4 linked regions of the Stegostoma tigrinum genome follow. The protein of the gene in region 4 interacts with the protein of the main gene of each other region in a pairwise test. Links are inferred from orthologs where the notes say so. Each region holds a gene or a part of one and is shown on either strand. Other genes may lie near its edges. The genes, in order: lamtor5, pfdn1, c23h8orf33 and git1.

Region 1 (7,762 bases), on a different chromosome or scaffold from region 4:
CCCGCTCTCACCCCCCCTGCCCCCTCCTCTCCCCCTCGCTCCCCGCCCTCACCCCCCCTGCCCCCTCCTCTCCCCCTCGCTCCCGCCCTCACCCCCCCTGCCCCCTCCTCTCCCCCACGCTCCCGCCCTCACCCCCCCTGCCCCCTCCTCTCCCCCTCGCTCCCGCCCTCACCCCCCCCTGCCCCCTCCTCTCCCCCTCGCTCCCGCCCTCACCCCCACTGCCCCCTCCTCTCCCCCTCGCTCCCGCCCTCACCCCCCCTGCCCCCTCCTCTCCCCCTCGCTCCCGCCCTCACCCCCCCTGCCCCCTCCTCTCCCCCTCGCTCCCGCCCTCACCCCCCCTGCCCCCTCCTCTCCCCCACGCTCCCGCCCTCACCCCCCCTGCCCCCTCCTCTCCCCCTCGCTCCCGCCCTCATCCCCCCTGCCCCCTCCTCTCCCCCTCGCTCCCGCCCTCATCCCCCCTGCCCCCTCCTCTCCCCCTCGCTCCCGCCCTCATCCCCCCTGCCCCCTCGTCTCCGCCTCGCTCCCGCCCTCATTCCCCTGCCCCCTCCTCTCCCCCTCGCTCCCGCTCTCATCCCCCCTGCCCCCTCCTCTCCCCCTCGCTCCCGCCCTCACCCCACCTGCCCCCTCCTCTCCCCCTCGCTCCCGCCCTCATCCCCCCTGCCCCCTCCTCTCCCCCTCGCTCCCGCCCTCATCCCCCCTGCCCCCTCCTCTCCCCCTCGCTCCCGCTCTCATCCCCCCTGCCCCCTCCTCTCCCCCTCGCTCCCGCTCTCATCCCCCCTGCCCCCTCCTCTCCCCCTCGCTCCCGCTCTCATCCCCCCTGCCCCCTCCTCTCCCCCTCGCTCCCGCTCTCATCCCCCCTGCCCCCTCCTCTCCCCCTCGCTCCCGCTCTCATCCCCCCTGCCCCCTCCTCTCCCCCTCGCCCCCGCTCTCATCCCCCCTGCCCCCTCCTCTCCACCTCTCATCCCCCCTGCCCCCCTCCTCTCCCCCGCTCTCACCCCCCCTGCCCCCTCCTCTCCCCCTCGCTCCCGCCCTCACCCCCCCTGCCCCCTCCTCTCCCCCTCGCTCCCGCCCTCACCCCCCCTGCCCCCTCCTCTCCCCCTCGCTCCCGCCCTCACCCCCCCTGCCCCCTCCTCTCCCCCACGCTCCCGCCCTCACCCCCCCTGCCCCCTCCTCTCCCCCTCGCTCCCGCCCTCACCCCCCCTGCCCCCTCCTCTCCCCCTCGCTCCCGCCCTCACCCCCACTGCCCCCTCCTCTCCCCCTCGCTCCCGCCCTCACCCCCCCTGCCCCCTCCTCTCCCCCTCGCTCCCGCCCTCACCCCCCCTGCCCCCTCCTCTCCCCCTCGCTCCCGCCCTCACCCCCCCTGCCCCCTCCTCTCCCCCACGCTCCCGCCCTCACCCCCCCTGCCCCCTCCTCTCCCCCTCGCTCCCGCCCTCATCCCCCCTGCCCCCTCCTCTCCCCCTCGCTCCCGCCCTCATCCCCCCTGCCCCCTCCTCTCCCCCTCGCTCCCGCCCTCATCCCCCCTGCCCCCTCGTCTCCGCCTCGCTCCCGCCCTCATTCCCCTGCCCCCTCCTCTCCCCCTCGCTCCCGCTCTCATCCCCCCTGCCCCCTCCTCTCCCCCTCGCTCCCGCCCTCACCCCACCTGCCCCCTCCTCTCCCCCTCGCTCCCGCCCTCATCCCCCCTGCCCCCTCCTCTCCCCCTCGCTCCCGCCCTCATCCCCCCTGCCCCCTCCTCTCCCCCTCGCTCCCGCTCTCATCCCCCCTGCCCCCTCCTCTCCCCCTCGCTCCCGCTCTCATCCCCCCTGCCCCCTCCTCTCCCCCTCGCTCCCGCTCTCATCCCCCCTGCCCCCTCCTCTCCCCCTCGCTCCCGCTCTCATCCCCCCTGCCCCCTCCTCTCCCCCTCGCCCCCGCTCTCATCCCCCCTGCCCCCTCCTCTCCACCTCTCATCCCTCCTGCCCCCTCCTCTCCCCCTCTCATCCCTCCTGCCCCCTCCTCTCCCCCTCGCATCCCCCCTGCCCCCTCCTCTCCCCTCGCATCCCCCCTGCCCCCTCCTCTCCCCCTCGCATCCCCCCTGCCCCCTCCTCTCCCCCTCGCTCCCGCTCTCATCCCCCCTGCCCCCTCCTCGCCCACTCTCATCCCCCCTGCCCCCTCCTCTCCCGCTCTCTTCCCCCCTGCCCCGTCCTCTCCCGCTGTCATCCCCCCTGCCCCCTCCTCTCCCGCTCTCATCCCCCCTGCCCCCTCCTCTCCCCCTCGCATCCCCCCTCCCCCCTCCTCTCCCCCTCGCATCCCCCCTCCTCTCCCCCTCGCATCCCCCCTCCCCCCTCCTCTCCCCCTCGCATCCCCCCTCCCCCCTCCTCTCCCCCTCGCATCCCCCCTCCCCCCTCCTCTCCCCCTCGCATCCCCCCTCCTCTCCCCCTCGCATCCCCCCTCCTCTCCCCCTCCCCCCTCCTCTCCCGCTCTCATCCCCCCTGCCCCCTCCTCTCCCCCTCGCATCCCCCCTGCCCCCTCCTCTCCCGCTCTCATCCCCCCTGCCCCCTCCTCTCCCCCTCGCATCCCCCCTGCCCCCTCCTCTCCCGCTCTCATCCCCCCTGCCCCGTGCCCCCTCCTCTCCCCCTCTCCCCCGCTCTCATCCCCCCTCCCCCTCCTCTCCCCCTCTCTCATCCCCCCTCCCCCTCCTCTCCCCCCCTCCCCCTCCTCTCCCCCTCCTCTCCCCCTCTCCCCCTCCTCTCCCCCTCTCCCCCGCTCTCATCCCCCCTGCCCCCCTCACCACAATTTCTCTCCCCTCCCCCTCCCCTTCTATATTTAATGTTATTTCTGACTCTATAATTATTTCTCTCTCACTCTCGATTTCCCCTGAATTTACTTTGAAGATTATCTCCCTATATTGACTATTTATGTGTTTAATGTTATTTCTCTCTCACGTCTCTCGAAGTTGGGAATCTAAAGCCGACTCCATTCTTCACATCCGGGAACTACCCAAGGGTTACCCGGAAATAGCGTCACCAGTGGGCGGTACACCCGCGTTTACCCGCCTGTTCACCCAGTGTTGACCCGCCACTGCAATAAAACCCCGCCTCCCCACCTTCATTCCCCCTCCTTCCCCTCCATCCTGGCATCCTTTTCCCTCCCCTCGGACCCCAAGGACTAGCCCCGCCCCCTGCACTAACACCGCCCCCTACCTTAACCCCGCCCCTGCAGTAGAACCCCTCCTATTTTCCCTGCCCCCTTCTCTACGCCACCCCCACAATTACCCTGCCCCTCTGTGATGCCCTTCGGACTAGCCCCGCCCCCTGCAATAACACCGCCCCCTTCCTTGACTCCTCATCTGCAGTAGAACCGCTCGTATTATCCCTGCCCCCTACACTAACCCCGCCCCCCACGTTAACTCCGCCCCTGCAGTCATACCCCTTTGACTGACCCTGCCCCCTTAACACACCCTCCCCCCTGTACGAACGCCGCACTTTGCCTAAACCACGCCCCCTACACTAACCCCGCCCCAATACTGACCACGCCCTCTACACTAACCCCACCCCTACACTAGCCCCGCCCCCTGATCGCCCGGTCATTGGACTGGGCGGTGTGCACGACCTGCTGATTGCAGGGACAGAAGGAGTTCCGGAGAGTCAGGGTAGAATGTAGTGGCCAACGCTCACCAGAAGGGATTGGGGACGGTGGAAATTTGGGAGTATATAGCTGTACAGTACATTGCTGAGACTATTTTTGGAATACTGCGTACAATTCTGGCCACCCTAATTTAAGAAGGATATTGTTAAACTTGACAGCGTGCAGAAAAGATTTCAAACGGTGTTGGTACTGTTGGAGGGTTTGAGCTACAGGGAGAGGCTGAATGGGCTGGAGGTTTTTCCCTGGAGTGCTGGGGACTGACACCTTACACAAGTTTATAAAAGCATGAAGAATATGGATAAGAGTGAATAGTCAAGGTCTTTTTCCTAGGGAAAGTGGATTCCTAAACTAGAGAACATTGGTTTAAGTGAGAGGGGAAAGATTTAAAAGTACCTGAAGAATGTGTTTTTCACACAAACAGTGGTGTGTGTATGGAATGAGATGCCAGATAAAGTGGTGGAGGTGTGTAGAATTACAATATTTAAAAGTCAAGATAATAAAATGTGAGGCTGGATGAACACAGCAGGCCAAGCAGCATCTCAGGAGCACAAAAGCTGACGTTTCGGGCCTAGACCCTTCATCAGAGAGGGGGATGGGGAGAGGGAACTGGAATAAATAGGGAGAGAGGGGGAGGCGGACCGAAGATGGAGAGTAAAGAAGATAGGTGGAGAGAGTGTAGGTGGGGAGGTAGGGAGGGGATAGGTCAGTCCAGGGAAGACGGACAGGTCAAGGGAGTCACGGGTGGTCTCTTGTTCGCTCCACACTGCCCTCCAACCCCACCACATCCGGCACCTTCCCCTGCAACCGCAAGAAATGCTACACTTGCCCCCACACTTCCTCCCTCACCCCTATCCCAGGCCTCAAGATGACATTCCACATTAAGCAGAGGTTCACCTGCACATCTGCCAATGTGGTATACTGCATCCACTGTACCCGGTGCGGCTTCCTCTACATTGGGGAAACCAAGCGGAGGCTTTGGAGACCGCTTTGCAGAACACCTCCGCTCAGTTCGCAAGAAACAACTGCACCTCCCAGTCGCAAACCATTTCCACTCCCCCTCCCATTCTCTAGATGGCATGTCCATCATGGGCCTCCTGCACTGCCACAATGATGCCACCCGAAGGTTGCAGGAACAGCAACTCATATTCCGCCTGGGAACCCTGCAGCCTAATGGTATCAATGTGGACTTCACCAGTTTCAAAATCTCCCCTTCCCCTACTGCATCCCTAAACCAGCCCAGTTCGTCCCCTCCCCCCACTGCACCAGACAACCAGCCCAGCTCTTCCCCCCCCACCCACTGCATCCCAAAACCAGTCCAACCTGTCTCTGCCTCCCTAACCGGTTCTTCCTCTCACCCATCCCTTCCTCCCACCCCAAGCCGCACCCCCAGCTACCTACTAACCTCATCCCACCTCCTTGACCTGTCCGTCTTCCCTGGACTGACCTATCCCCTCCCTACCTCCCCACCTATACTCTCTCCACCTATCTTCTTTACTCTCCATCTTCGGTCCGCCTCCCCCTCTCTCCCTATTTATTCCAGTTCCCTCTCCCCATCCCCCTCTCTGATGAAGGGTCTAGGCCCGAAACGTCAGCTTTTGTGCTCCTGAGATGCTGCTTGGCCTGCTGTGTTCATCCAGCCTCACATTTTATTATCTTGGATTCTCCAGCATCTGCAGTTCCCATTATCTCTAATATTTAAAAGCCATCTGTTTAGGTATATGAATAGGAAGGGTTTAGAGGGATATAGACCAAATGCTGGCAAATGGAACCAGTTCAGATTGGGATGTCTGGTTGACCTGGATGAGTGAGAGTCTTTTTCCGACGATGATGACTTCAGCTTGGACGAGGGGGCATAGCTACAAATTGAGGGGTGATAGATTTAAGACAGATGTCAGAGGCAAGTTCTTTACTCAGAGAGTGGTAAGGGCATGGAACACCCTGCCTGCCAATGTAGTTAACTCAGCCACATTAGGGGTATTTAAACGGTACTTGGATAAGCATATGGATAATGATGGGGTAGTGTTGGGGGAAGGGCTTAGATTGGTTCACAGGCCAGCGCAACATCGAGGGCTGAAGGGCCTGTTCTGCGCTGTATTGTTCTATGTTCTATGTTCTAGTTGGATGGAAGGATCTGCTTCTGTGATGTATAACTCTATGACTTCACAAATCTTAGAATTCTTTGAGGAGGCAATAGGCACGTTAGACAAAGGAGAGCCAGTGGATGTGATCTATTTAAATTTCCAGAAGCTTACAGAATACTGAGAACCTTTTAATAGAGAGGATGTTCCCGCTAGTGGGAGAGGCTAGGACCGACAGTCTCAGAGTGAAGGAAAGACCCTTTAGAACTAAGATGAAGTGGAATTCCTTCAGCCAGAGGGTGGTGAATCTGTGGAACTCATTGCTGCAGAGGGTTGTGGAGGCTACGTCATTGTGTGTATTTAAGACAGAAATTGATAGTTCTTGATTGATAAGGAGATCAAAGGTTGCAGGGAAAAGGCAGGAGACTTGAGTTGAGAAACATATCAGACATGAATGGTGAAGCAGGTCTGATGCTGAAATAGTCTAATTCTTATCCTATATGTTATAGTCTTAAGGCTTTTAACTAGGTGCCACACAGGAAGTTCCTAAATAGCACAAGAACCCTTGGTGTTAAGGGCAAAGTATGGCATGGATAGAGGATTGGCTGACTGGTATAAAGCAGAGAATCAGGTTGAAAGGATAGTTGCCAAAATGGCAGCCAGTGACTACAGTCAGATCTATTGTAACACAATAGTTGCATTCCTGCGCAACATTGCATTACAGAAAATCACACTGTAGGAATAATGGGCCCAATGGGAAAAGCGGTGTTAGGGGTAGACCGTCAAAAAGTATCACTCAAAAGCATAATACAAAAGAAAGCGCAGTTTAAATAAATGTTTAATTCACATCTAATAATGAAATAAAGATAAATTTAATGCCTAATCTTGAAAAATCGTCAAGATGATTTTATGGGGGAGGAGTTTTTGAGGTTGCTCTATTGTTAATGCAGAGGCTGAGCGTCATCATCATCATCATCATCACCTTCAGGTGCAGGTATAATTTGTCTGATCTCTCCTCATTACTTAAACCTGAAGTTCAGGTATCATTTTTGTAAACCTATGTTGTACTCCCTTCATGGCCAATGTATCCTTCCCAAAGCCTGGTGCCCAGACCCACACTCAGTACTCCCAAGTGCAGTCTAACCAGGGTTCGATGTAACTGCAGCATAGCTTCTATATCCTTGTACTCCATCCATCTAGATATAAAAGCCAACATTCATTAGATATTTGAATATTTTCTGTACTTGTTTGTGGTATTTTATAGATGTATGCATCAGAAGCCCCAAGCGTCTTTGAACATCTACTATATTTAACTCCATACCATCTAGAAAGCACCCAGATCTATCATTTTTCGGTCTAAAGTAGGTAACTTCACACTTATTTACATTGAACTTTGTTAGCCAGCTTTGCCCTTTCTCCCAGTTGATACCCCATTGTGATGCTATTGCCAAAATCTACACTGTCTAAAATGCCATTTAACTGTGTCATCAGCTTTCTATTTATGACTTTATATGCCATTATCAAAGAAATTAATAAATAATGTGAAGAATTGTGGGAATGACACTGCTGATTCTATGATGACCTTTCTACAGCATGGGGCTAGATACAGACAAAAGCTTGCTCTACAACGTCCCCATCAAACGCTCCCAAGACAAGTATAGCTTGGTGTCAGGTACAGTGTAAAACCTTTTACTCTCTTAAACAGAAAGCAAACCCTCTCTATCAAACATTCCCAAAACAAGGTCAGCATGGGTGTAGATACAGAGTAAAACTCTTTCTACTCTTAAAAATAGAAAGTAAACCTCTCACTATATTGTCCCCATCAAACTTACTTAGGACAGAGACAGCATGAGGTTAGGTACAGTGTAAATCTCCCTCTACTCTTTCATGTTGTCCCAGTTTCATTTTAGAATAATGATACTTTGTTGGTTGGATTTCTGGTATGTCTGTGGCTGTTTTAAATTGTTGTTTATTTTACTCCATTTGACTCTCCTAACCAATGAGAAGCATGTTTAAAGGGCTTTCCAAGATTACAACATTACATATTGTAATCAACCCCTATC
Region 2 (7,274 bases), on a different chromosome or scaffold from region 4:
CTTGATGATAATGGCCATGTCTTTGAAAGGTATATTCGAAGCTATCTTTGAGAATTTCTGCAATGTGTCTGGTGGTGGATGTGGTGCTAATCAAGCAGGCAGTTTTGCTGGATGGTGTCATGCTCCTTGAGTTATTGGAGCTGCACTCATCCAATTAAGTGGGCAGTCACACCATCACAATCCTGACTTGTGCCTTGTTGACCATGGATGCCAATTAGAGTCAGGAGTTGAGTTACTCTCTGCAGGGTTACTAGCCTCTGAACCTGTAGTTACCCACATTATTTATATGGCCAGTTCAGATCATTATCTGATAAATGGGGCCCCAGTTTGTTGACAGTAGGGTTCAGTGATGGTGGTGCCATTGAATGTCAATGGTCAACTTCTCTCCTGTTGGGGGTGGTCATTGCCTGGCAATTGTGTGGCATACATGTTTCTTGCCACATGTCAGTCCCATACCTGGATATTGTCTACATCTTGCTGCATTTGGGCATGGGCTGCATCAGTACCTGAGGAGTTGTGACCGGTGCTGAACATTATGGAATCATCAGTGAACACCCCCCACTACTGATCTTATGATGGAGGGAAGATCATTGATGCAGCAGCTGATGATAGTTGCACCTGGGACATTAACCTGAGGAACTTCTGCACAGAATTCCCGAAGTTTAGATGACTGATCGTCGACAACCCCAGCTATCTTCCTTTCTACCAGGGATGATTCCATTCAGTGGAGAATTTTCCTTCTGATTCCCATTGACACTAGTTTTGCTATGGCTCCTTGATTTCACACTTGATAAAATGCTACTTTCATATCAAAAGCAAATGGTCTCACTTCACCTCTGGTCAGGCCTTTTGTCCATGTTTGAGTCAAGGCTGTAATAAGGCCAGGAGCCACGTGGCCCCGGCATAACCCAAACTGTGTCAGTGAGCAGTTTATTGCTAAGCAGGTGCTGCCTAATAGCACTGTTGATGACACCTTCCGGCACTTTGCTGATGATTTAAAGTAAACTAATGGAGCGTTAATTGGTCAGGTTGGAATTGTCATTTTTGTGTACAGGACACACCTAGACCATTTTTCACAGTGTAAGGTAAATGCCAGTCTGGCAGCTCTACATGGAACAGCTCAGCTAGGAGCAGACCAAGCTCTTTACTATAAATATTCAGCACTACTGCCAGAATGTTGTCAGAGCCTGAAGCCTTCAAAAGTCATAAAAGAATGGGCACTTAAGTAAAATGTTGGAAGGCTGCAGGTATGCAGTGAACTGTATTACGGACTGAGTTAATGTCACTAAGAAAAGAAGGCAAAAGATAGAAGAAAGATGTTTTTGATACAAATTACTTATGAATATGAATGCCAGCAATTGGAATGTTCTGCCCGATGGCTGTTCTCTTTGTGCATAACTTAGGGCTTTTCATATTTTGGAATCTTCAAGACGGTCTGTGATAACCTCTTAATTTTGTCGTGTCAAATATGACATTTGTGCTACACCTACTCATTTCTTCGTGGCTTGCAGTGAGACAATATACTTTTCATGTGGTCTAGCTGGAACTTTGATTCTTAAATGCAATAGAGACCTCCTCCACAAGCAATTAGAAGGAAAATGTTTTGTGTACAGGCCACAGAGAATGCATTGTCTAAACATTTAAATTAAATGCATGTAGCGGTAGGTTTCAAAAGATTTTTAAAATGCAGTTTGACATTGTGCCGTAGTTGCACCATCTGCGGTGACAAATCAAATTAATCCGATCTTTAAATTTACAGTACAACTTCAGTAATACTTGAACAGTGAAAACTGCTTAGTAGAATGCTGATGTTGTACTGTGAATGCGACTTTAGATATTTTTTTGTCAACGCAGCCTGTGATGACTTCTAACTCCCAAAATAAAGGTCAGCTGTAATTAACTTTACTGCTGTAGATTGGATTTCTCTGAATACGTTCACCAAATTCATAGGAAATGTTTTGCTGGCACAAGAACATTCTGCTTGATTGAGGCCAACTGGGGTTTTTCCAGAATGATATATAGTAAGAAACTGCTTACTTTCTTCATGAACAAAGTGGTTGTTCATCCTGTCCTGAAATCCTGAACTAGAGCAGTAAAATTGAACAATGTCACAACAAGTTAGAAATTAGAGTAAATCTTTCCTTTGCTCCTACCAGCTTTGACATGAGCTATCACAGGAAGTGAACCCTGGTAACATGAACTCTGAATAACAATTAGTCTTGTATTATAAAGTTATAGTAATGAGGTTGGACTCACTTATGCCCAGTTAAAGGTTGCAAAATACTGACAACATTCATATCACACTACACTGAAAAACGAATTTTAAATGTGGTGATGACATTTGAAAATTTTTTGGTTATGAATGGAGAGTTCCAAACACTCATAACCATCTGAGAGCAAGGCAAGGAGACAGCTCATTACCGCCTTCTCAAGAATACTTAGGAATGGACAATAAGTGTTGTTTCAGCCAGCAAAGCTCACATTCCATGTATGAGTCAAGGAAAACATTATGCAGAGAGGGTGTAATGCAGTCGACGACTTTCTTGTTCAGCTGGTAAGTTTGTTTGCAGACGTTTTGTCATCATACTGGGTAACATCATCAGTGTGCCTCTGGTGCAACGTCGGTGTTCTCTCCCGCTTACTATTTATATGTCCCACTTTCTTGGTATGAGTGACATCACTTCCGGATTTGGTTCTTAGTGGTTGGTATATGGGGTCCAGCTCTACATCATTGTTAATGAGTCCTGGTTTGAGTGCCAGGCCTCCAGAAATTCTCATGCATGTCTTTGGTTGGCTTGTCCTAGCTTGGCTATGTTGTCCCAATCGAATTGGTATCCTTCTTTGTCCAGGTGTACTGAAATGAGTGATAGTTGGTTATGTCTCTTGGTAGTTAATAGGTGTTTGTGAATCCTGATGGTTAGTTTCCTTCTGGTTTGCTCCGTATAACGTTTTTGGCAGTCTTTGCATGGTATCTTGTAAATAACATTGGTTCTGTTAGTTGTGGTTGTGAGACCCTTTCTTTATTATCAGTAGCTGTCGCAGTGTAGCTGCCGGTTTGTGGGCTACCATGATTCCTAGGGGGTGGAGTAATCTGGTAGTCATCATGCAAAGGCTGCCAAAAACATTTCATACGGCAAACCAGATGGAACCTCCCCATCAGGATTCACAAACACTAACATTATCGCTACACCGCTATCTTTTCCTGCTGTAAAGTACTAGGGCAGCAGATATCTTATGCAAACTCAGGAAGTGATTGGGTGGAGGAGCAACGTTATGCTGCTCATGTATCTTGAAGACGTGGTAGGATTGCAGTAATGTCAATGGTCTAGTAAACCAGAGGCCCATGGCAACGCACTGGGGAAATAAAAGCTGAAAGAACTGTGGATGCCATAAATCAGGAACAAAACAGAAGTTGCTGGAAAAGCTCAGTAGGTCCAGCAGCATCTGTGAAGAAAACTCAGTGTTAATGTTTCGGGCCCAGTGGTTCTTCCTCAGTATGTAATGCACTGGGGACATTTGTTTGAATCGCCACTACAGAAACCGATGGAACTTAAGTACAATTAATAAATCTTGAATTGAAAACTAGTCTCAGGTAAGAATCATGAACAAAAACAAAGTTGCCGGAAAAGCTCAGCAGGTCCGGCAGCACCCGTGGAGGAGAAAACAGAGTTAATTTTTCGGGTCCAGTGACCCTTCCTCAAAACACAGGATCATGAAATAGTCCTTGATTGTTGCAAAAACTCACCTTGCTCATTAATGTTCTTTAGGTTGAGGGAAATCTGCCATCCTTACCTGTTTTGGCCTATGTGTGATTCCAGATCCCATTGGAATGTGATTACCCTTTTAACTGCCCTCTGAAAAGGGCAAGCAAGCCACTCAGTATAAAGTGCAATAACAAATGGACAATAAATGTTGACCGGGTCAGTGATACCACAACCCATCATGTTAAAAAAAAAACTGGCTTCCCAATGTTTAAATTGGTGAAATAATGCTGCTTCATCTGGATGATGTTATAACAGGAAGTGATTCTATATTGAAAAAAAGGTGGTGCTTTCACTAGGGAACAAGAGATACCAATTACTTCAACAAAGCGTCACTTCCCTTAGAAGGTTAACCTGACAGAAAACCAGGGTCAAATCGTATCTTCTCAACTACCTAATCAACATGAACCAGTTGTTTACAAAATGTAGAGAAACTTAAAGCAAACAACGTGTCCAAAGATTGTGGAGACCTCAGAACTGCGCCAGTTCCGGCACACAAGCCTGACTGTGCACATGAAGGGGCTATGAGAACGTGAATACACCATTCGGCTACTTCTGTGGACGGAGAACAGCGGTAGCGTTTCGAGTCCGATGTGACTTTTCTTCAGAACTCAGGAACTTCCTAAACACTGACTTCTGACTCGAAACGTTAGCTCTGTTCCTGCATCCACAGACGCTGCCGGAGCTCAGAGGAAGGGTCGCTCGACCTGAAACCTTAGCCCTGACTTCTCTCCACACGGATGCTGCCAGACCCGCTGAGCTTTTCCAGCAATCTCCGTTCCACGTCGCTGCTGTTTGTTTTTTAACTTCAGGTTTCCAGCATCCGCAGTATTTTCACTTTGATTTGATAAAATGAAATCGGAAACCCGCTTCAATCGAGCATTGTTGTGTGATATTAGACGGGACCCAAGAATAAAAACCACATGACAGTGCACATCGAACTCTCTCGCTGCTCCTCCTCCTCGCCGCCGGTAAGGAGCGGTCTGCGCATGCGCTCATCCTCTAAAGATGGCAGCCCCCGTGGATCTGGAGTTGAAGAAGGTACAGGAAGACACAGGGGTCTCATTGCTTCGCGTTTTTATCCTTTTTTGATGACCGATCGCTGGCTTTAACTTTCTCAGAATAAAAGGCACATGTTGTGGGAGGGTTTTAGCATTGATTTGTTTTCGGTGGTTATTAAAAGTGAGTGGTTGGTGCAGGCCTGGCTGCGCTGGAAGTCTTGCCCACCCTGTTGAGTTGAAAATTTGCCATGTGTATAATCCATAGACAGCAATAACACGATTTCTGACTTATTTTGGAGTGAGATATTTCTAGAGTGTTAAAGAGTACAAGATGTTATCACTTTTGTGTACTGTTGAAATGCATTTATTTTCCTTCATGTCAGATCTTACCTGTTGTCTTAACGATTATGGTTTACGCCTTAATATTTTAAAATTTTGGAAGCGCACCACAACAAGTAAGTCAGTACGATCGGTATCTGGACAAATACCGATCATTTTGGACGGGTTTGTTCACGGGTCGTCTGTTTTAAGTGTTCCTATAAATGTTCAGATTTTAATTTCCTAAAGTGTTTGTAATATTGTTTATTATCTGAATTAACAGAATTTTTATTTTCTTGTCAATTTCTATCACACTCAGCATGGTTAATTCGGCAAACTCACTTTTTAAAGTAGACAGTTCAAAGACCTTTGTGCTCAGAGGACGATGCAACAATAATCAGTTATTCAGCAGTTCTTTTTTAAAAAAAAAACTGAGGATGAGGGTGTCACCCAGAAGGCTGCATTCACTGTTCATCCCTAGTTGCTTGAGAAAATGGTGGCTTTCACCTTGAACTGCTGCAGTGAATGGTACATTCACTGTGGTGTTATATAGAGAATTCCAAGATATAACCAGTAACAGTGATATTTTATTTGCACTGGGATTATGAGTGATTTGGCAATAATGCTTCACTGCTTCTTTTGCTCATGTGGTGGAGGTTTATGGGTGCCAGACTGTTAGTATAACCATGTCGAGTTGCTATTATGCGTTTGTAGACTGAATTTACTGAAGCTAGTGCCTGTGATGGAACAAGTGGATGTGAACCACTGTGCCTGGGGGACCTATTTAGTGAACTGTAGCATTGTGAGTTACTTCCACTATCAGATGTGTGTTAGAATAAACAGTTTATGTAGTAAATGTAAAATTTGTGGGCACAGACTGGATTACATTGAGGTTGCAACGACAATAAAGTCTGTTGCTTGTGTCATCTGGATGCATTAATGCTATTGTATTGGCACAACCAATCGTTGATGGACTATCTTCTTTTCTTTCAGCTTTTTCCCATATTATGTTGGGTCACTGTACTTTAATGTCAGTCATCCTTTGGGATTTGGCAGTTGATTTTACAGCCAGATGCTGTTTCTGTCGCTCACTGTTCTCATTCATCTGGGGGTTGGGAAACTCAGCACGGTTCACCAGGCAAACTCTTACATTTAACCCCTGGCTTGAGCATGTTGGAAGGATTAAACCTCTCATGAATGGCATCCCACCTATGGTAGCTTGACTTTGTGGTTGTTGTGTCGATAAGACTATTTTATTGCAGGAACATTTTTTTTGAAAGACATTGTCCAGCTGTATTACTATTACTACTATAATTATTGATATGCTGTTTAATTTGAATGCAAGATTAAAATAATTAGACCCTTGCCTTTCTATCTTGGCATCCAGGACTTTAGCAGGATTACATTTGAAGTGTTTGGTTTGCACACTGCTGTTCACCAAACTGAAACTCTGTCACGAGTTAATTTACACATGGTTCCGTCATTGGTATTGACTGCTAAAAAAAACTTAGGCTTTTGTGTTCGTTTCTAGAAATTCATGAGAAAAGAAATGAACTGTGGAATCATATTTAATTTCTTATGAATTTCTTTTGAAAAGCTGGAAGTTCAGAGTTGTATGTGAAATTAAGAACTTCAAAAGTGCTTTATATAAGGCTATTACAGGTTTTTAAAGGAATGATAAAGTTGCATGCTTGAAAATTATAGTTAGTGAAACTTTAAGTGAAGGGATTGAGAAAGTAGACAGATTTAAAATCGGTCCTTTATATAGGTACAGGAATAGCTCTCTGAGACTGCTTGGTCATTTATTACGATCATAGTCGATAGAATGCTTTCATTCCTTTTAACCACACTATCTCTATAACCCATTTGCCATTGGTAATAAGAAATGTATCAAACTTTAAATGTACACCAATGAATGGTCTTCTGTAGTCATTTGAGGCAGAGAATTCCAAAGATTCACCACACTGTCAGGACTCATGATTTTTTTGTTACTCAATGGCTTCCTTTTTTTTTTGTTGTACTGCAGTTCTGGACTCCCCAAACAGGATGAACATCTTACCTGCATGCACCCTGTTATCTCCATGAGTGTTTTGTAGGCTTCTTTGAGATCATGTCTCTTCTTCAAAACTTTTGAGAATATGTGGCTAGATGAAGATTCTGTAATTACTCTTAATGTTAATAAGTAATGGTAATT
Region 3 (7,375 bases), on a different chromosome or scaffold from region 4:
GCAGGCAGCAGTGAGAACATTCCTCCTATCTGCATGAACGTTGTCAATTCCTTTCATTATTCTGAAGTCGGTCATTAATCTTTGGAATTCTCATCCATAGCCTGCAGTGGAGACTAAGTCACCAACTATAATCAAGGCCACTTTAGACAGATTTTTCATCTATAATGAAACTGAGGGTTATGAGAGCAGGCAGGAAAATAGGATTAAGACCAACATCAGATCAGCCACGAACTTACTGAATGGTGGAACAGTGTCAAATGGCCTAAAGGCCTAATCCTGAGCCTGTTTCTTATAATCTTAGCCATCAACCACATCTCAGGATAGGGACACTCTTATATTTTCTTTTTTGAAAATGTTTTTGTTAGCTGGAAGTTTTGGTTTTACCAAGAACAAAAAGCTTCCCTCAAAACTCTGAAACAGAGAGATGAGGTTCACAGTGCATGCGCTCAGGTTGGGGTCCATCAGAACTGAAAAGAAGTTCTTTATTCAAGAACTGACAGCCAAAATAGGAAATTATAAACCAGTTAGCATGACATCACCAACCAGATCCCCTCACTACCTACTAACACTGGGCTGTCCACTAGGGATTGACTGCTTACCTTGTTGTGATGACAGTTTGAGCTGGGAGACCCCAGTCTGTTGTTGCTGGATCCCACAATCCAGCTCCACCTGGATGTTCTTGTTGAGGCTCTGTAACAGACAGAAAGCTTTAGCGAACCAATCTGTGAGCGACAATAGTAAAGCAGCATTGAGAAAACAGGTCTAGAAAATTAAGAATGAGTAACAATATCCACTTCCCATCCAAGTATTTAAACAGAAGTCATAATAGATATTCAACACACGCAAGAAGTAATAATAATTACAATCTGTGCTGTGATATTAAAGTGTCACTATTCATTGCATTAGCACTCCTAATATATTCTTAGAAATACATTGTGAAGCAAAAATCACTCTCAGAGCTCTGTAATCTCTTACTATTTAGATAAAGTTTTATACTTCCTGCCAGAATGGATAATTTCATATTATGTCAGATTATATTACATTTGCTAGCTATTTCCCCACTCTCAACCTATCTATAAATATTTGCAGCCATATCCTCTTCACTTTAACTATCTTAGCAATGATAACAAAGTTAACAATGATTCCTTCTTTCTCTTCATCCAAATCATTTATACAAACTGAAAAGATGAGACTCAGCACTGATCTCCATGGCACACCACTTGTTACAATGGCTAAACTAGAAAATGACATGAATGCCTACTGATTCCTATGAGCTAGACAATCTTCTAACTATAATCTTAACATGTTATCTCTTATACCACAAGCTTTTACTTTCTGCAGTAACTTTTGATGTGGCACCTTATCAATGCCTTCTTGTAATTAAAGTACAGCATATCCATTGGTTCTCTTGTATCCATAGCGTGTTACTTTCTCAAAGAGCTTCAAAAAAATTGTTAAACATGATTTCCCTTTCATAAATCATATTGTCAAGATAATCAGGCAAAGACACAACAAGCTGCATCCCCTGTATATACAAATATTCAAGAAATTGTATGAAAGGACTGGCCCAGTTCATACCCTAACCATTTTGGTGAATACATTGCCCGCCACCCTATCGAGTAGGGCAGTAATCAATTAACATGCAACTGGGTCAGGAGAAAAGAGAGCTTAGAATAGTCTTAATTCCGATAATGTAATCACTCACCTCCTCCATTAAAGTATCCAAAACACCTCCAACAGCTTAACAGATCATTGGCAGCCTGGGCACCTCCCCAAAGCAGCAATCTGTGCACCTGAAGGAAAAGACAAGACTCACTATAAAATCACACTAGCAAGGAGCTGTGAGGCACAGTGATATTGTCTCTATCTCAGATTTGGGAGGCCCAGGTTCAGGTTGTACAAGCTCCAGAGGAATGTTATTGTATCTTGAACAAGTTGACTTAAAAAAATCCCTACAATCTTGCCAGCTCTCTGCTCCTACTGGTGCCTGTTACTAAGATGTTGATCGAGGTTGAAAGCTTGCTAAAAGGGTATCCGTGTCGCTTTGAGATAATGGGAACTGCAGATGCTGGAGAATCCAAGATAACAAAGTGTGAAGCTGGATGAACACAGCAGGCCAAGCAGCATCTCAGGAGCACAAAAGCTGACGTTTTGGGCCAAGACCCTTCATCTGGTTCCCTCCCCCCACTGCATCACACAACCAACCCAACTCATCCCCTCCCCCCACTGCATCCCAAAACCAGCCCAGCCTGTCTCTGCCTCCCTAACCTGTTCTTCCTCTCACCCATCCCTTCCTCCCACCCCAAGCCGCACCTCCATCTCCTAACTACTAACCTCATCCCACCTCTTTGACCTATCCCCTCCCCACCTCTACTCTCCTCTCCACCTATCTTCTTTTCTCTTCATCTTCAGTCCGCCTCCCCCTCTCTCCCTATTTATTCCAGAACCCTCTCCCCATCCCCCTCTCTGATGAAGGGTCTAGGCCCGAAACGTCAGCTTTTGTGCTCCTGAGATGCTGCTGGGCCTGCTGTGTTCATCCAGCTTCACACTTTGTTATCTCCGTGTCGCTTTGATAGTTTTCTCCGGTTGGAGTTACCCCGTTCGAATACAGTGTACAGCCCGTGAGGTTCCTGGTGTTCCTGTACTTATTGATAATCTCAGATCACTGATCATCACAGACAGATGGACATCCTCCTGCGTAATGTTTTGATTGAGAGTCTATGCCAAAGGTAGGGGCTGGTTTGGAAAAGACAGGATCTACATTTCCAACCACGTGAAGCTCTAGAACCAGGAGCTTTCGACTGTGAATCATTTCACCCACAAAAGTCTGACAATAGCTGAGGCTGTCATCTCAAAAGGTTCTAGTCGAGAGTGCGTACCCTTCAAAGTTTCACAAGAAACCGTAGAAATAGGTTTCTCAGACTCTCCTTTTCTCGGCACTCAGCCACCACCGGAAATCGGGTGTTCTGTGTCCGTCGTTCAATTTGTTCCCCCGGTTCAGTGATAGACCACTTTCCAGTTACATCAGTGGGACACCTCCGGAAGCCGCCATTATGGAGGGAACAAATTCATGTGACAATCGAAGCAAAGCAGGATGCATTGGAATTGGTTAAGAGCTCTGTACATTCCAGTCTGGCCTATTAACTAGTTCCAGAATATTCTCGTCTACTGTCTGTTATCCAATATTTGGAATGTTTTTTCTTTCTTCTCACTTCAATGCTCTCGAATTCAGAAAAAATTCAAAGCCGGGGAATGAAATGCAACCTTTACATAATAGGCAAACTGTTTCTATTTTCCGGTTCTGGTCAGTGGATCTATGTTACAAAGCTCTGCACTTTCGCATTTTCAGAACAGCCTTGCCTCTTATTTTCGGTTTTCTCCCGGTTATTTCTATGTTTCTTCCCTAATAAGCCTCTCATGTTGTCTCTTTTTTTAAAAATTGTTTTTAACCTCCTATTTTGTGTTCTGTGACTGTTTGTTTGTTTCAGAAAATACTGCTCATGCAGTCACTTACCAGCAAATCACATTTTGTGCGAATATTTTTAAGGGAATTCACTTTCTAAATTCCAGGTTATGCATAAAGGTGATTTAGCACTGATCAAACATACTCTGCCACAAATGTGAAACTGGCAAAGTCAATTCACAAATTGGTTACGTACAATATGAACTTTTGAGCAGACTGGACATTTAAGCAGGATTTCTCCGTCCAGTGCATTAGATCCCCAGTCCTTCACATTCTTCTGTTGCTGATACAATCAAGTAGGAATTAAAGGATAAAAATGCACGGAGTAAGGTAACCAGTTGTTGATTTTCAGACATCACTCCCACCAATTGATTTCATATTTTGACATACAAACCTTCCAATGTAATTTAGTTATCAGTTTAATAATCCTGACCTCTCACTTAGGACGTTGAAGTGTTACCCTTCTCTAGGGTGAGTTACTGCCTTAGAATCATGCAGTACAGGTCATTCAACCCGTTGAGTCTGTACTGCCAAAGATAAAATACCACCTACACTGGTGTCACTTTCCTGTGCTATGCTTCATTGTTATTGACCATTAAGCTAAGGAGAACGTCTGCTTTCTATCCACCCTGTCCATGCCGTCTTCAGAGATCTGTGAGCAAGGACCCAAGATCTCTCTTTTCCTACGAGTTTCTTCGTATCTTGCCGGTAGAGTACTCCCTTGTCTTGTTCCTCCTTCCAAAGTGCATCACCTCTCAATTACAGTTAAATCCATCAGCACTGATCTGCCCATCTGACCAATCCAGTTTTATCTTCTTGTAACTTGACAAGTTCCTCTTCACTGCCAACCACAGCCAACATTTTGTTAGCTACAAAGTTATTATTTTTCTCCCTCTGCACCATTTGTGAATATTATAAACAAGGGACTCAGCACTGATCTGTGGTACACCACTGCATACTGGGCTTCAGTCACACAAACAGCCTTCTACCACCACTTTCTTATTGCTGTCTCTAAGTCAATTTTTGATCTAACTTGCCAAATTACCCTGAATCCCATGAACTTTTACCTTTATCAGTCTGCTATGAGGGACCTTGCCAAAATCCATGTAAACTACATCAACTGCTCTATCTTATCCAAATATTTTGTCACCTTCTTGAAAATATTCCTCCTGTTTTGTTAGATATGTCCTCCCTCTTGGAAAGTTATGTAGATTATCCCTAATCAGACCTTTCCTTTCTAAAAGGAGGTTAATTCCTCCTTAGATAACGAAGTGTGGAGCTGGATGAACACAGCTAGCCAAGCAAAATCTTAGGAGCACAAAAGCTGATGCTTTGGGCCTAGACCCTTCATCAACTTTAGAAGGAAGTTTGTTATACTCACTGGTCTATAGTTTCTAGGTCTATCTCTACAACCTGTTTTGTAAAGTGGAACCACATTAGCTGTCCTCCAGTTCTCTGGCACCTCTCCCTGTGGCTGGAGATGATTGAAACATCAGAGCCCCTGCAATTTCTTCCCTCCTCTCCCACAGTAGCCTGGGATACAACTCCAAACCCCAGTATATATCCACTTCTAAACCCACCAAACTCTTCAATACCCCCTTGTTTCTTTTGTTAACTTGCTCAAGAACTTCATAGTCCATCTTGTTGAATTCTGTTCTTGAATCCTCCTTAAGATTCTGTAACAACAATGAAAGCTGTTTGACCTATTGTGCCTGTGCTACCTCTGGAGGAGCAGCTCATCTACAGTCACCAGCCTACCTGTTCCTCAGCCATGCATACTCTTCCTTTACAGATAATAAACAAACTTCCATCTAAATTTGTCTCCATTTCCTCCTCATACAGCATGTTACCTTTACTTGTTTTACCAATTGCCTTACATCTGTACCCTCTCGTTCATGAGCTACCCAGTAATAGGAATCTTTCCCCCATTTCTCTGTCCAGACCCCTCTCAATTTTGAATACCTTCAATCAAATCCACCTTCTCTAAGGAAAACAGTCCAATTTCTCCAATCTATCTACATAACTGAATTCATAGAATATAATCAAGAGTCATACAGATTCTTTGGTTCTTTGGCAAAATTTTCTGAAGAAGGGTCTAGGCCCGAAACATCAGCTTTCCTGCTCCTCTGATGCTGCTTGGCCTGCTGTGTTCATCCAGCTCTACACCTTATTATCCCAGTCTATCCAGCCTCTCCCCATAATTCAAACCCTCCACTCCTGGCAAAACTCGGTAAATCTCTTTTGAACCCTCTCCAGCTTAATAATATCCTTCCTAATACAGGGCAACCAGAACTGGACGCAGTCTTCCAGAAGAAGCCTCACCAACATCCTTGATATAGTGTGCTGGAATCATTTTCACAATTTTTTTTACTGCACTCACAGCGATGAATGGCCAAATACTAAAGCATTTCAGACAAAGAAATATGTAACTTACAACTTTTAATGACATGTAGCAAATCCACATCTACAGTGGATGTGTGGGACTGACAGGTGTGGCATGCCATGCCAGCAGATCGCCTGCCAAGAGTAGCCACAACTAGCAGCAGTGAACAGAAATCCTTCTGGTCCAAATCAAATAGATGGAAGCACGAAAATTAAAATGGGTGTATTAATTTTCATTTTGTTTTTCTTATGTTCCTGCCAAGCCTGTGAACCAATGTATTTGTATAAAATCACTAAAATTATTTCAGCATTCAATGCAGTCTGTATGTAATACAGAATGAAGTTCACACGAAAAACAGAACATGACTTTGCTGGCTTGCATATATGTAAAAGGAAGCAAAGAACTGCAATAGTATTTTTCAATGTGTTCAAATTTGAACTTTCCACCACACAGTCAAGGCAATTAAAGATGGGTAATAAATGGCTCCTTTGCCAGCAAATGTTCTCAACATGAGAAAAGCTGTAAAATAAATTAATGAAAATTAACGAACATAGCACAGCAACATTCAGCATATAGTCATTAAGGTCTGTGTGTTCAAGGTTTTTTTTTGGCAAGATCTGTAGCTCAGGTTGTGTGAGGTTGTTGACTTGATCGCTGAGGTGGCTTGTTCTTGTTCAGACGATTTTTACCATGCTAGGTGACATTATCAGTGGAGCCTCTGATGTGGTGTTATTCTGCTCTGTTTGGTATTTATAATGTTTGGTCCGTTATGGTGAGTAGTGTCATTTTTGTTTTTGTTCTGTATGGGTTTGTGTATGGAGTCCAATTGTGTTTGTTGATTGCATTACGGGTGGAGAACGTTCCCTCTAGGAATTCCCATGCATGTCTATGTTTGGCTTGGACTACTGTGGTTACCTTGTCCCAGTTAAACTTATGGTCTTCGTTGTCTGACTGTGACAATATTAAGGAGAGTTCGTGCTATTATGTTGCTAGTTGATGCTCATGTATTCTGATGGCTAGTATCCTTCATGTCCAATGTAATGTCTGTGGCAGTCGTTGCATGGTATTCTGTAAACTATGTTGGTTCTGCATGTTGTGGGAATGGGGTTTTTAAATCCATGAGTGTTTGACGAAAAGAGTGGCTTTGGGTTTGTGAACCACCACGATTTCTAGTGGTCTTTAGTAGTCTTGTTGTCAGTTCCAATATGTCCTTAATGTGTGACCAGTGTGTTAGGGCATACTGTGTCCTCCTGGAGGTGAAGTTGCAGGGATATCACCTGCGCGTGACTAGATGCCTAGAGTAGTTATAAAGAGTTACATAGATGACATTTGACCAGTGGGCACCACAGTGCATTATCACACCACAAAACCAAATTTTAATGCAACTTACACAAAGGTCTAATGAAAATTTTTTTAACAATGCAACTTTTAAGGGTCCATCTGGCTTAAATTGGCTTTAAGTTAGTTTCATTGTTTTACTGGTCATTAAAAATGGTGCAAAGAGGACCATGGCCCTTCTAAGGGTCATC
Region 4 (7,276 bases):
TAATAAAAGATGCATGAGGAAGTAGATGTGGAAATTAGACCAAGTCGTTTAAATAGCAAGAGTAATCAGTACAGACTTAATTGGGCAAGTAACCCACATTATAAAATTAAGATTTTAAGTATACTTCACAGAATGGAGGCCTATAATTCATTACACTTTTGATCAAAGGTTTAAGCGACCAGTGAATCAACAGATGAAATTCTCCAACAATAAGGACTTGGGCTTCATTTCTTTTTCCTGAAAGCCAGGTTTATTTTTCATAATATGACTACAAGTAATGAGACAACGGCTTGCAATTGCCCAACTGGAAATGCTTCACTGGATCATGTGTTCAAATCTATGTTATTCCAGATAGTGCAATGGCTCAGAGGTTATTGTATTGTATTATATGATATTATAAATTGTCTGCAGTGTCGAGGGATGTTTGGGCTAGGTGGATTTGCCCTGGTAAATGTGGAGTTATGGAAATAGGTTGGTGGGATGCTTTTTGGAGGGTCAGTGTAGATTCAATGGGCTGAATGGCCTTTTTTGGCACTGTATGGATTCTATGATTAAAAAGTGTAAGATGTATAAACTAGTTGTTAGGAAACAAGACATTTTAATGATATTTGGAAATAAACTTTAATAGCCCACAGCTAGTATAATCTCTTCAGAGGGTCAGTGTGGACTTGATGGGCTAAATGCTCTGGTTACACTTTCCTCCCCAGTGTTTGATGTAATCCACACTGCTTACAGCTATGTCCTTTTCAACTCCAAATATTTGTGTAGGTGTGCAACTACATCTCTTGCTTAACACACACACTTGGCCTGGAGGATATCTGAATTTCTCGCCCTTCTTGGAGACAATGGTTTTGATTTCGAGATGTTTAAAAATATTTTGATAAATTTATGTTAATTTCCTCTGTTTGATGCGTGACAGAACTCCAAAATGGAATATTACTAACGATTCTCCCATCCACTCCAATTGTCTATAACATGAATAATCAAAAAACTTTCTTCCTCCACATCCCCAACATTTAGTTGTAAGTGCTCCCATCTTCCATCAAAAAGTCACTCAAATACAAATAATTTACATATAAAACAGGACAATATGTAACAATATTTTCCATAGCAAATGTTTTCAAATCACACATCTCAACTTAAAAACACAAAAGACAGTCTCAGGATGTGCAGTGAGTGCTTGGAATTAATAGAAAACTTGACATAAGCTTTAATTTTAAAAATGCATTAACAGAACATCGCACATTATTGTTCATAATTACTCTGACTTTAAAAACTGTAAAAATAGTTAAAAGATGCATAAGACCAGCATACAAAGCTCAAAGCAGTAGATGTCACGCCATCAATAACAAGTTTTTTAAAAAAAGAGATCTTATAAACCTACATCATAAGCTCTCCTTTCGGCTTTTCACAAATTCACTATTTTACAACTGTACTAAGTAGTCCCAACTGCATAATTTCCCCTATCCACTGCAGTCAACTACTGGGGCAGCACCTTGGATAGGAACATGCGCAACACTGGACCCTCTTCTTAGCGCTAGATTAACATGATGGTTGACAGCAAGACCATTCAAGTGTGTAGTTTATTTTTGAATACCAAATATGCACAGAGATGATACCAAACACAAATAACCTCAAGAAATAAGTGAGTTGATTTCATTTTTACAGGGTTAAAAGAAAACAGAAATAACATTCAACTGTCAAAATTACCATAAAACTTCAGAATTCAAACATGTGTCATGAGAAAGCCAACATGATTTATAATCTATTATATTGTGTAAACTTCAAATTTTGAATTATAGCTAAAGATAAACATAATATTCAATTGGCATAATCACAATTACTGCAAACTCCCTTTTAAAAGTATACAGCTCACTCCAACAGATTTGATGTGTGCCAAATTAGATCTGATATCTCCTACAAACTTAAATCACAGCTCAGCTGGCAGACAATCAACTTGCAATTGTGCCTCCGCTGTTATGTAACTCAGTGAATATCGCAAAATAGAACACTTCAAAATGGACCGAATCCTATTTTTGATCTATATGCGAATAATTAGAAATCCACCTCAAATGAAAAGTGAAACAGATGGCTAAGTTTTCGGGTCAGATCGTTTTGAATCAATAAATCAGATACCAATGAAAAGTTTTACACATCAATTAAGACTCTCAGTAGAGTAGAATCAAAGTCGTTGCATACAGCAATTCGATCACAAAGAATCACTGGTTTCTTAGGGATGGCATCGCGAGTTCATCAAACCGGTTACTGTGTCCGGTTTATCACTGGTCAGCCTTGGGACAATAGCCAATACTGCAACCGGGAACTTGACGTTTCCAAACAAGACTTTCACAAGTGGCCACTAAACACTTGGGAAGGAAGAGGCAAGCACACACGCGCGCGCGCGCACACACACACACACACACACACGCAGCCCAAGCCGAAATGGACCATCCTCTCCACATGTAACGACACAGGATTCTCAGTTCAGTTTCCAATCCCCGGCACAAATGGCTGACCGAAAACCCACCGCCTGGCAACCGGTGCCAGGGATTGGGTGCTGACTGCCGACCGCTGACCGACCGACTGACCTGACAGGCCCCAAATCAGAGCAACCACCACCTCCTCCCTAACACCCCCAAACCGTATTGCCCCACGGACCCCGTCGTCCTGTAGAAGCAAATGGGGAGGGGGTTGGTGGGGGGGTGGGGAAGGGGTTCGGGCTGATTCCCCGGGCTCCCGAATTGACCACCACTCTCTTTCTCATCCCCATTCACCGAGTCACGTACCTGACGCGCTGCAGTCGGCGCACACTTCGTTGGGCCGCAGCTTTCGGGACATTTCTGCTCTCCTCGATGATGATGATGATGATTCTCCCGGTCTCTGCTAATTTATTCCCAGCGCTCACCTCCTCCCCTTACCCCAAACCCCGCTACCTCTCCAGCCCCTCCTCCGACACCGCCAGGTCTCCAAATCTCTCAGGGCCAGTGTGTTTAGCGCAGACGCATCCGGTTCGAGACAAGTTACTGGAAAACCGCAGCTTTCCCCCGCCCGCCCCCATTCCCAGAGCAACCAGGAAATGACGACAAGACCCGGCCCGCGCAGCGCAGCCCAACCTGCTGCTGGTGGGATTCCCAGCGCCGTCACCTGACTGGCAGCAGGCTTGCCCAATAGACAAGCCGCTGCTTCCCAATTACGTCACCGCAGGCCAATCAGCCCTCATCAGCCGCTAAGTTTGGTAGACACTGGGCGAAGGAACGAGCACCAACAGGAGGCGGGACGTGGAGGCGGTAACCCGCCTCAAGGTGTGCTGGGATTTGTAGTTCTCGCCGGTTAGCTGGTGCGAGGGTGATGTCATTGCCCAGAACGGAGCACTTTCAGTTGCCTACCCATATTCATACATATTAAAATTATTTCCCCGGAATTGGTCAAAAACATGTAGCTCATTTTAAATTGCAAATTCCCACTAATATTTATCACCTCAACGGACGAACTACAGCTCCCAGGAGGTTTTAAAACAGCGCATCTCCAATATTATAGATAATGGGGTTGGTAATAAATTTAAATGCGCAACTACTGCATTTTCTCACTAATTGGTACTCATGATGAACGGAAAAAAATCAGTAGTACATGCTAATTGGCCACGTTGTAGATTTTCTTTATATTATTTGAAATCTACGCTCCATACGTATTTTCAACCTGCATATTTCCCCCACAGTAACTTGGTAATTCCTCACCCTTCGATTTTCTCCTACTTCCTCTTTTCCCACACAGTTAAAGCAAGAATTACAGCGCTTCCTATCGTCCGATATTCAGCTGCCGAGCAATATAGGGATTGGTGCCTGTTGCCAGGGGTTTGACTATCTGCTGCAAAGGTAGTTTGCATGTTATCTGGAAGAGAAGAATGATATCAGAATGATTTCTGCGAGAAGGGTGGCAGAAAAATATCCGTTGCATTATTTGGTTTGGCATAATAGATACAAGGATCTGGAAAAGGAACTTAGCACCAAGCAGGTGGGTGATGTGTGTGTGTATGTGTATTTATGGGGTGGTGCAATGCAAGTGGAATTGACTAAATGCTATCAGATGCAGGAACATAGACAAGTCGCTGTTTAATTATAAATCGGAAATTAAATGCTGTCAGTCGGAAGAATTGGAGATAATCTATTTTTTTCTACATTAAAAATATTCTTGGATCCGAATTGTGACCATATCCGTTTTCGTGCATTAGGTTGGATGGAATTGTGCTAGTGCCGTACAATTAGCTGATTCCTTCGTTGGGTTATGTATTGTTTAAATATGCTTCTTCCAATAAGGATTAAAAATCATGATCGCGAAGTTTTCATTATATATTGACTTTTAGTCTTTATTTTCTTCGGTCACTTAAAGACGAAATGTGTGGTTACTATTCTCCGCTTACTATCTTATATGGAAATGAGGCATCCATAGTAATACGGGAACCATATGTGTTCTGTAGTGGAAAGAAGATTATGCCAAGTGCTTTAAAATATTCCCGTAAATCCTGATGCCCATTTTAACACCCAAAACGAAATCCTGAAATGGGTTCCAATATCAGTCGGTCTCCAAAAGGAAGTTGCCATATTGTGTGTGTGTGTGTATGTATGAAAAGAAAAGCATGTTGGTCTGTCAAAATAAATGTTCTGTGGAAGTAAGGCAACTACAAGCTCACAGATTGGGTTCAAAATAAACCGCAAACTAAAAGACCCTGGTTTAATTATCTCACATAAACTTCTTTTGAGAAGATCTGGAATTTCAATTTAGTTCCAAACTGTGCAGATACAAAAAATATTTTCGTAGGGTTGCACCTGTTTCCTATCAAATTGATAAATATCGTTCAAGGTTCTGTCGTGCTGTCTGATGTAGCTTTCCGGCTAGAATCAAACGATGTTTGATGAATTGTAAGAAACCTTTCGAGTCTGGATGTCGTTTTAGCATAGTTTCTCCGGTGTACAATGGCTCCGACCGACACTTGATACAAGAGGCCAGAAAAAAGGATGGGACTGTCATCTCTGTGGCTGCACGCTTTAAAGAGCTGAATGCACAGTTAATCACACAGGCGCCAACCATTCCGCGCCCGGCACACTGAAACATCGCTTTTCCAAGCATGGTCTCTATGTCAAACCAATCTGATTGATTTTTGAGACAGTGGAAATTTGTTACGTGGTGTAGAAATGAAAAGCAACAGGGAAATTAGTGTATTCATTAAAATGTCAGTATCACATTATTTTATTCAACCGCCATGTCAAATAATTGTTAGAAAAAGCAATAAAGAATATTCGACAGATGTTAGCGAGATAAAGTCAGTAATATAAACCGAACCTCTTTAACCAGAATTGTCCGTCCCCATATGCAGACTCAGCTCAGATTTTATACATTTAAAAAAAAGACTGGATGCAGTGAGTTCACAAAACCTATGTGAATAAGCACATTGTTCGGTTTGTGCTGTAAGTTCCAATTTTTGGGTGATGGGTGATCAGTAATCAGAAACTAAACAGGTCAGGCAGCCTCCGTGCAGCGGAATTAACACGGCCCTCTCCAGAATTTTGGTGAAAGGTCATCGACCTGAAAGGGTCACTGTTTGTCTCCAAAGGCTGCCTTACCCGCTGAGATTTTCCAGTTTTTTTCCCGTGCTCACTTCGCATTTCCAGTATTTTACGTTTGTGCCAGAAACGGTAAGATTGGGAGTCACAAGACACAATACTGGTCTTCCTTCCCGTTTAGAAGTTGGTTTTTACTTGAACTTGAATTGTTGAAATCAGGCGCAGAACTATTCCATCTCTCTTGAGCGAGTTCCGATTTACACCGAGGCGGAGTCTGAGTAAACGGTTACAGCACAAAATACAGCCTTCGTGACCAGGAAACTGTTCTCATGCTAAGGTGCTGAATGCAACTGACATTCCCTTGTGATCATATTGGAGCTGTGGGCACGGTAGTAACTGGCTACCATTTGGGAATCAATAAAACAAAACTGTTTTTACCCTTTTTGGAAAAGACCAAATCACCCCACCCTAAAAGTAGCCGAAGCCTTTGGAAGGGCTCCGCTGCTTGTGATGTGCAGCAAATGCATCTCCGCATTCTTCCGACCCGTTCTGTTGCAACTTGTAAGGGCAACTGTGACGGTAAAGTGGAAGTAGCACACACCGACCCTCTTGCTGGCCTGGCCTCCCGCCACAATCCGCAACTGACAGGTGAAAATACAGGAGGTCAACATGACTCTGGACCGGAAATGCAGCAAACGGAGCAAAACACGTTTCACGCATCCTTTATAGAACTGGGAGAAAAGCCGCTGGCACACGGTGTCACTGAATGGGGCTTTAGCTATATGCAGGAACTAGAGGACGCTCAGTGTATTCCGAGAATGCACAAAGTCTGAAATACTGCAAGCAATTACTAGGACAGAGTTGGGAACGATTATGTTAGGAATTGGGTGTACAAAGCCTCCGGTAAATGGAGTGAGAATGCAGAGTTCGAGATGAGGTTGGGGGCGGGGGTGGTTTGTGGCGGGATTCTGAATTTCTCACGGCTGGCGATGACCGGGTCCGATCTGAAACAGCCACAACACCGTGATGGTTTCGTCTATCTCCCTGAAAACGGGGGTCTACCTCAATCAGTTTGCATCAGCGTTCTTGTACGACGCGTGTGAGCTTGTGTAGCATTGCAAAATATGTTCCAAATCGCGGTTTCTGCTGTAAAAAAAACAGAAAAAGAGGGGCAAACAGCGGCCAGTTCCTTACCATTGAAGCCCAAGTTAGATCGGGGTGTCTATCAATAATCCAGCCAGCCCCTGTCCATATAGCCCCCATTTGGCCGATAATTGTAACAAATGTATCACGCAGACAAGATAATCGATTAGCAGCAGGAACATGGAGCTGATACTTCTGTGGGATTGCAGATACTGCCTGAACGGGAGGAGACGATGGACTTGGTTCACAAACTTTGTTTTCTATACCCATGTACCCCTTACTCACAAATATCTACAGGGAATTGGGCCTTTGCTGTTTAAAATTACGGTAAATGTGCGAATATCTTCGGGATATAATGATATCTTCAGATTCCTAACTACTGAGCTGTTTGAAGATATATAAAGCCTGTTTTGAGACTACTAATTGCATAAATTTGAAGTCACTCAAGGGAATTTCTGCAGAAATTTTATTCAGAGTAAATAGTTTTTTGTGCTTTTGCGTCTGAAGTTTTGGGTCTGACGTCAATGAAATTGTGTACCGTTTAATAATCCAAGCGTTCGCAGTTAGAATCAGTT

What was found.
Region 1: the proteins of git1 (region 4) and lamtor5 interact in a two-hybrid assay, tested with the Homo sapiens proteins (2 studies listed by BioGRID and IntAct). The link is inferred for Stegostoma tigrinum from reciprocal best matches to the Homo sapiens genes GIT1 and LAMTOR5.
Region 2: the proteins of git1 (region 4) and pfdn1 interact in binary tests that used the Homo sapiens proteins (3 or more experiments, as listed by UniProt). The link is inferred for Stegostoma tigrinum from reciprocal best matches to the Homo sapiens genes GIT1 and PFDN1.
Region 3: the proteins of git1 (region 4) and c23h8orf33 interact in a two-hybrid assay, tested with the Homo sapiens proteins (2 studies listed by BioGRID and IntAct). The link is inferred for Stegostoma tigrinum from reciprocal best matches to the Homo sapiens genes GIT1 and C8orf33.

What each region holds. Positions count from the first base shown.
Region 1 is NC_081374.1:828,276-836,037, forward strand, and holds the start of lamtor5 (ragulator complex protein LAMTOR5), read right to left. Parts: upstream 3,017-7,762; 5' UTR 2,954-3,016; coding exon 2,919-2,953; intron 1-2,918. UniProt on the Homo sapiens protein: As part of the Ragulator complex it is involved in amino acid sensing and activation of mTORC1, a signaling complex promoting cell growth in response to growth factors, energy levels, and amino acids.
Region 2 is NC_081366.1:38,410,677-38,417,950, forward strand, and holds the start of pfdn1 (prefoldin subunit 1), read left to right. Parts: upstream 1-4,262; 5' UTR 4,263-4,769; coding exon 4,770-4,802; intron 4,803-7,274. UniProt on the Homo sapiens protein: Binds specifically to cytosolic chaperonin (c-CPN) and transfers target proteins to it. Binds to nascent polypeptide chain and promotes folding in an environment in which there are many competing pathways for nonnative proteins.
Region 3 is NC_081376.1:31,555,843-31,563,217, reverse strand, and holds the start of c23h8orf33 (UPF0488 protein C8orf33 homolog), read right to left. Parts: upstream 3,005-7,375; 5' UTR 2,880-3,004; intron 1,794-2,879; 5' UTR 1,715-1,793; coding exon 1,706-1,714; intron 691-1,705; coding exon 600-690; intron 1-599.
Region 4 is NC_081380.1:31,329,343-31,336,618, reverse strand, and holds the start of git1 (ARF GTPase-activating protein GIT1), read right to left. Parts: upstream 3,010-7,276; 5' UTR 2,839-3,009; coding exon 2,787-2,838; intron 1-2,786. Other genes in the region: ankrd13b (ankyrin repeat domain-containing protein 13B), read left to right, coding at 3,913-4,011. UniProt on the Homo sapiens protein: GTPase-activating protein for ADP ribosylation factor family members, including ARF1.